2 linked regions of the Macaca mulatta genome follow. The protein of the gene in region 2 binds, or shares a complex with, the protein of the main gene of each other region. Links are inferred from orthologs where the notes say so. Each region holds a gene or a part of one and is shown on either strand. Other genes may lie near its edges. The genes, in order: CXADR and JAML.

Region 1 (3,816 bases), on a different chromosome or scaffold from region 2:
TACGTGCCAATATCTGACAGCTGTAAATTCGTTACATTTATGGATGCATCACCAGATTTGAGATCATTACTCGTAAAATGGACTCGTCCTTTCAGATCTGGATAGTAGTCATCATAAATTTTGTCTCCAGAATATAAAATAATCTAAAAGAAAGCCAAAATTAGACAGGCAGAAAATCAAACACACAACAAAAAAAACTGTCTCTTAAAGAAGCCCTGGATACACCTGCTGCTACAGAACCCCTGCCCCCCAGCAGAAAAAGAGAAAAAGAACACAATATTATGGGGAAACCTAAAACTATCCAAACCACAGAACGAGAATATGGAATCAACGTGATCCTTGGGCATAGTCCCAGACTTCCGTTTTTAACCTGGAAACCAAGACCCAACATGATAAAATAGCAAAGCCCTCCACTGGCCTAGACAGCAGTTTAGTACGATCGGGCAAGAACACAGATGTGCTCATTGGTTTGTTTTTTTTTTCCCCTTTTGAGATGGAGTCTGAGTCTGTGGCCCAGGCTGGAGTGCAATGGTGCGATCTCGGCTCCCTCCACCTCCTGGGTTCAAGCAATTCTCTCACCTCTGCCTCCCCAGTAGCTGAGACTATACAGGCACGTGCCACCACAGCCAACTAATTTTTGTATTTTTAGTAGAGATGGGATTTCACCATGTTGACCAGGCTGGTCAAGTGATTGACTCAAGTGATCCACCCACCTCGGCTTCCCAAAGTGCTATGATTATAGGTGTGAGTCACCGTGCCTGGCCTGCTCATTCTTACATACTCTATTTTTCAACTGCCTCTGAGGCAGTAGTTTGCCAACCAAGTGTAACAAAATCAAGTACCTACTGCCCCCTGCCCCCACAAAAGGCTTATCATAATTTGCCTGTGGAATCTAACAAAAAGATAACTTAGTTGGGTCTTAATACTAAGCTGGAGTTACTTGAGGGTTCTAGACTCTAACAGATAAAATCATAAAATAAACCTCTTAAGATATGTGTACCCAGGTTAACAAGTCCTTTGAATGAATCTTCTGTAACTAAAGCAAAGACCCTTGCCGAATCCACTGAGTTTTCTGAACCACACTTATAGCCTTTGAAGGCAACTACTAAAGGCTGGATGCTTTAGAGGGAAAATAAAATCTGTGTTTGTAATATTTTCTTGGAAGAGAACTGTAGTAGTATTCTCTAACAATCTCTAGCATTAATTTAACACATTTTACAATTTTTCTTTTTTGCTAATGAAATCTCTTCACTCTGGTCATGAGACCCATGGGCCAAAGAGCAGTGATGCCAAAACTCAAATAATAATCAGGAAACACAACTATGACCTGTATCCTGCAAATAATCTCTTTTACCTGAGTGCTAATTATAGGTAGTATAATCAGAATAAATGTCATCTAAGAGTACTGTTTTCCAGGTTTATTCTGCAGAAACTTCTTGAGTGGAGGAACTTGGGTTCTCTTCTGAATTATCTCCTTCCCAACCACACTGACCCCACCCCAATCCACCAAAGATCTTTTTTTTTTTTGAGACAGAGTCTTGCTCTGTCACCCAGGCAGGAGTGCAGTGGTACGATCTCAGCTCACTGCAACCTCCACCTCCTGGATTAAAGCGATTCTCCTGCCTCAGCCTCCCGAGGAGCTGGGACTACAAATGCCCACCATCACGCCTGCTAACTTTTGTATTTTCAGTAGAGACGGGGTTTTACCACATTGGCCTGGTTGGTCTCGAACTCCTGACATTGTGATACGCCTGCCTCGGCCTCCCAAAGTGCTGGGACTACAGGCATGAGCCACCATGCCCGGCTAGATCTTTTATTTATATACAAACTGTCTGCATCTAGGTTGCGCTCAATACCAGTCTGCTAAGTAAATAAAAGAAAGAGTTGAAGGGTCCACAGCTGACTTACTCTGTAAACATAAGCCATTACTTTATTTGCTCAATCTTCTTGACACATCCACTTGTCAACAGCAACACTGACGACTCCACAAATGTGGCTACTCTATCTTCCTTTGATTAATTTCCTTTGATTAAAAGGCTTATCATAATTTGCCTGTGGAATCTAACTCTAAAGGTCGTAGAGTTCGATCTATTGTACTTCCAGTAGCTTGTTAAGCTCCACACACACCTTAGTAGCCTTTTAAGGGGGGCTTGAGAAATAAGATGCATTCCCACTGTTGGTTATTTTATAAGCTAGCTTAGTGTCTTCCCGGAAAATGACGTTATAAACATCAGTTAAGGAATGGGAAGTTTACCACGCAATTTTACATGTCTTCACTGATTCCCCTTCACAACCCTGCAAGGATGATGGCAATGTCCACATTGACATTTAGGCTGAGGAAAGCAGTGGCTCTCACTGATCAGCGTTTGCACAACAAAGATGCAAACCAGATCCATTTAACTTGGCACAGGACATGATTATCATTTCAATATCATTTACAAGCTTACAGAATGCTTGTGCATATAGTATTTTGCTGAATTTTTATAACGACCCTGAGATGCTAGGTATATCTGTTCCTACTTTACACACGAGGAAACAGGTTTGTGAAACATGGGAGGCAGCACGGGACAGCACAAAGGATAACAGAGCAACAGAGCAGCTGTGAGAGTCAGAGGGACCTGGGTTCAAATCCCAACTGCATTTGTTGCTAGCTATGTGACTCTGGGCATGAGAATCTCTGGGCCTCTGTTTCCTCCTTGCCATACATATAATAATTCTCACCTTACTATGTTGTTTTACGGCTTAAGTATATACAATTAAAGTATATAAAACACTGCCCAAGCACGCAGTTTACAGTAACCGCTGACTATAGAGATCACACAAGGAATAAGAATGCAAATTTCTCCAGCTCAGTCCTCCAATTCCCAGTTTTTAACCATTCTGTCTACTAGCTGAAATATATTAAAATAGGGGCTCAGTTAGCATATGTAGCCTAAATTCTATGTATGCATCCTCTTCCGCATCCATCTCTTCCTAACCCTTCTACCTTTCTTTTGGTCTGATGTGACAGTGTTTTAGGTTAGAAGCTAGGTTTTTAACCCAGAAATGGTCACTCAGAGTCAAGTCCCAGTTTCACATTTCTCTTACAACTCCTGTAGACGGCAAAGCCGTGCCTCTCACTCAGCATGGAACACTTGGAGTCTTCTTCCCATTAACAGACACACTAATGGCTCAGGGCACAGCACTTCTCGGTCTCTACATGCACCTTGTCACAAGCTTCACTCAGCAGCAGCACTGAAGACCCATGCTCTCCATACGCATCCTAGGCTTCCCCTATCTTAAGCACAGGATCAGAGTCCTGGGCTCTAAAGGGGGACAGGCACTGCACTGTCACAGGAACGGGGAACTGCAGGACCTCAGATGGAGCCTGTACTCTAGGTGCCAGCAACCCCACAGAGAGAGAAGGGAGAGAACGGGGAGGTAAGAGTGACAAGGAACAGGGTAAGGAGGCTGAGTAGATACAATGAGTCAGGCCCGATTTATTTTGCTCAGGGAAACAGAAAGAAGTTCTGGTAACAGAATCAGGGCAGAGGTTACATCCTTGGAGGGGGTGGCTCTAGTCACTCACAACTTGGGAAAGCACCTTAATTATTTCCTGAACATAAACATCAAGGGCAAACTGACTGGATTTGCCAAGAATATTAATTACCTAACTGCACTGATTCAGCCATTAAATGGAAGAATGTTACTTGTAACTTTTAAATATCCCCTTCTTTCACATCAACAAATGAGTAAAACAAAATTTCTCTTCCAAATATATATATTACTATGTTTACCTAAATATTTGGACTTATTTTCCTCTCCCTGATCTAATAT
Region 2 (3,816 bases):
TCAGGACCAGACAGCACTAGGTACAGGGGATTCAGAGACAAATGATGTATGGTCCCTGCTTCCAAAGAAGGAGACAAACACGTCAACAGAAAACCACAGGCTGCTGTAGGCACTACAGCAGAAGTCTGTACGGGGAACAGAGGGTCACAGAAAAAAGGGTGCCCAATTCTATGTGCAGCAAATGAGAATTTGCCAGCAAAAGTTCTAAAGTTTAACCTGAGACTTATAGGAAACATCCAGTTTCTTGGGCAGACAATCTGGGGAAGGACAGAGGGGATGTTCTGCGCGAGATCTGAAGGCCTGACAGGACGGTGATTTTAGAAACTAGAAAGAGTTCAATGGGTCTGGCACAAAAGTGGCATCTGTGGGTGTGCTGGAGAATTTGGCTGGAGAGATGATAGGGTCCAAGTCAGGAAGGACCTTGACTATCTCAACCAAGAATTTGGCATTTTTCTGCAGGCAATGAAAAAACCATTGAAAGATTATTAGCAGTGGAAGAGAAAGTTCTTAATGTGATTTAGAAAGGTGGCACCAAGAGCCGTGTGAAGAATGAGGAGCAGTGGCTGAGAGAGAAAGCAGAGACTGGTTAGAGGCCTACAGTTCAAGACAGAGATGAAGACAGCCAGAACTAAGGTGGCAGTGACAGACTGGAAGGAAGACAACTTCAAGAGTCTGTAGTAGGAGTCAAGGACTTGTTGACCTGACCTGTTAGATTGGGGTCAAGGAAAGGGAAGGAATCAAGCACATCCCCAGGCATCTAGTTAGACAACTGAGGTTGGGGAGATGGGCTGAGGAAGGGTGTACAGGGGTAGGTGAGACATGTCGCGTATGAAGGATTTGTGGAAAACTTGTGTAGAGTTTACTATGCATATCCATGAGTGTGTGTGGAATTGGGTCCAACATAGAGTGCATATAAAATATAGTGTCCAACGCTACTGAGGGAGAGAAGGCTGAGGATGGATAGTTGCAGTGGCATTGGTGGTCTAAGCTGGAGTACAGGTAGAATAAGCCAGAATGCAGTGCACTGAAGAGTTAATGGGAGATGAGACGGTAGTATTCCAAACACAGACCTTTAGCAAGCTATTTGGCTATGTTGAGAAAGAAATACATGATTGTGGTGGTGGTTGTACAACTCTGAATGTACTAAAACCATTGAGCTGAACGCTTTAAATGGGCAAATTGTATGGTATGTGAATTGTATCTCAGGAAAGCAATCTGAAGAAAAAGAAAGACACAGAATGGAGCTGAAGAAAAAAAGACATAGAAGGGAGTTGGAGTAGGTAAGTGGTAGAATTGAGCAAATTTGAATGGTAGAAGCCAACAGAAAGTGAGAGCTCAAAGAGCCATGTTGTGAGGCTCCTGAGAAGGATGCCACCTGGGCACAGGGGGCCAGATAAGCCCAGAGCAGAAGGGACCCTCCTCTGTCTCAGGATGGCAGGGCAGAGATAAGGATGGGGAGACATAGATATGTTTGTGGGTAGAGAAGCTGCATGAGCCCCCATAATAGCTCGATTTTCTCTGTGAATTGGACTTCTGAGAAGGAAGCACACAGAAAGATGATGGTTCTTTAAGAAACCCATCTGCCCTGCTCCCCTCTCCAGCTGGAGACAAGGTGCCTCCACAGACTTAAATCTCTGGCCTGAGGTATGAGGTATGTTCCATCCTCACCCCATCTTCCCCACCCCCAATCAACCACAACCAACTCCTGAAGGCCCTAGCAAGGGGCAAAGTCCACAGGCCACATCCTGATTGCTAACTGGGTTATGGTTTAACTTCAACCCCTCACTTATCAACCTCTCTCTGTCAACACAATTGAGTCTTTCCTCTCCTACACACCACTGGCCTTGATGCACGCTGTTTGCCAGAACCGAGAACCTCTGATTAGAAAACGCCTCCATTTTTGGTTCTGGTGCCTGCATGGTCCTCTCTGTTCCTGGCTGTCTCTCACTAGCTTAGGATCACTTCCCGCTCCACTCTAGCGCGTACAGCACCTCCCTTGAAACCAAGTATGCTGACTTTGGACATCAACTCAGATCCTTCCCTGAGCTTCTGTATCTTTACATCAATAGACGACCCTGGCAATGAGTGGGGTCTGGCAGAGGACTGGTATTCACTAAATTAGCTCCCCTGTCCCTGGCCTAGCAGCGGGGCCAGAATTAGGGTGAGGCAAGTCAGGTACCTGAGGAGCCACCTCTAAGGAGGCATCATTCTCAGGGTTGTGCAAGGCCAGAGTCAGCACCTGAGAGGGATGCCTCCTTCAATTTTGCATCCTAGGAACCTCTCCGGCCTCACTCTAGTCCTGGCCCCATGCACCAGCCAGGAGGTCCCTCAATGCCCCCCAGCCAAATGTTAGATACTTCGAGGCTCTTCTGGGCTAACATGCAGCACAATGGTTTTCTTGAACACCAGGTTCCCTAGGTGGATACTGCAGGTGTAGTTTCCTCCGTCTGACTCCCTCACTCCTTGAAGCACGATGGAACCGTCATTGCGGAAAATGTCCCCCACCAGGTTCACACGATTCTGGAAGTGGCCCCAGCTCTGGGAGTACCCCACGGACATCCTGAGTTTGTGGTAGTAACGAAACACAATCTCCTCCTAGAAGGGGAAGGCAAAAAGTATGAGATTGTGAGGACTGGAGTGGAGGGGGGAGCAGAGAAAATGGGGGAGGGAAGATCTCAGGACTCCCAAGGCCCTGCTAGGTGAAGGCAGTAAGGGTATTATCAGAAAGCTTTAAATAACACAAAGTCATGTACACGCACATACACATGTGCATGTGTGTGTGCTTGTGAAGGACATCACCAAACCATGAACAGTTGTTCCATCTGAACAGAGGGATGAGAAAAGGAGGACTTTCATTTTGTGTACCTTTCCAGTAAAAAAAGCAAAAGTATACTTTTATTCTTGAGGACATTTCTAGTTGGATTTCCAATAGGAACCTGAAACATGTCTAAAATGGAACTCCATCTTTCCCCCAAACCAGTTCTTTCCAGTCCATCCCATTTGGGTACATGGCAATGCCTTCCTCCAGATACTCAGGCTAAAAATCTTGAAGTCATCCTTAATTTCTTTCTGGAAAAAATCACATCAAATCCCTCAGCAAATCCTATCACCTCAACCTTCAAAATAAATCCCCAATCCAGCCAGTCCTCACCTCCTCCACTGATACCATTCTGGTCCAGCTCATCTCTCACCTGGGTTCCTGCAACAGCTTTCTTACTTGTCTCCCTGCTTATTTGCTATGACAATCTATTTTCAGCAGATGAGGCTTTAAAAATGTAAGTTAAATCATGTTACTCCTGTGCTCAAAACCCTTCATTGCCCCTACTCCCATTTATACCAAAATGCAAGGCCCTGCATGACCCAGCCCATCTCCCTTTTCCTCTGACTTCAACTTCTACTTGCTCTTCCCTCACCTACTTAGGTCACTGCACTCCAGCCACATGGACCTCTTGGCTGCTCCTTGCATACTGGCTGCAGGGTCTTTGCACTTGCTACTGTCTATGACTGCAAGAACATTCTTCCCCTACACACATGCAGGATTCACTCCCTGACTTCCTTCACACCTCTCCTCAAATGTCATCTCAGTATGGCCTCCCCAAGCACCCACATAACAAAAACCACAAAGTCCTGCTTTATTGTTCCCCATAGGCTCTTACTATTGCCTGATGTATTATATACTTCTTTATTATTTTATGCATATCTCCCTCATCTTAGTTGTAAGTTTCCCATCAGGTCAGGGGTTTTGAGTATTCTTCATATAGCAGATGCTTTAAAAATAACTTGTTAAATGAATATTGGCGTTTTAAAAAAAGGCAT

The links.
Region 1: the proteins of JAML (region 2) and CXADR are in contact, whole or in part, in a crystal structure (PDB 3MJ7), measured with the Mus musculus proteins. The link is inferred for Macaca mulatta from reciprocal best matches to the Homo sapiens genes JAML and CXADR. Residues at the interface, in NP_001005421.3 of Mus musculus: Arg57, Asp59, Ala69, Tyr72, Phe75, Tyr77, Leu80, Val82, Glu120, Arg122, Ser127, Met128, Val129, Met130, Lys131; in NP_001020363.1 of Mus musculus: Thr23, Gly51, Pro52, Asp54, Glu56, Leu58, Ser60, Gln65, Ile66, Val67, Asp68, Gln69, Val70, Leu73, Tyr83, Lys121, Lys123, Lys124, Ala125, Pro126, Gly127, Val128, Asn130.

The regions. Positions count from the first base shown.
Region 1 is NC_133408.1:30,188,640-30,192,455, forward strand, and holds part of CXADR (coxsackievirus and adenovirus receptor), read right to left. Parts: intron 144-3,816; coding exon 1-143. UniProt on the Homo sapiens protein: Component of the epithelial apical junction complex that may function as a homophilic cell adhesion molecule and is essential for tight junction integrity.
Region 2 is NC_133419.1:118,872,910-118,876,725, forward strand, and holds part of JAML (junctional adhesion molecule-like precursor), read right to left. Parts: intron 2,596-3,816; coding exon 2,358-2,595; intron 1-2,357. UniProt on the Homo sapiens protein: Transmembrane protein of the plasma membrane of leukocytes that control their migration and activation through interaction with CXADR, a plasma membrane receptor found on adjacent epithelial and endothelial cells.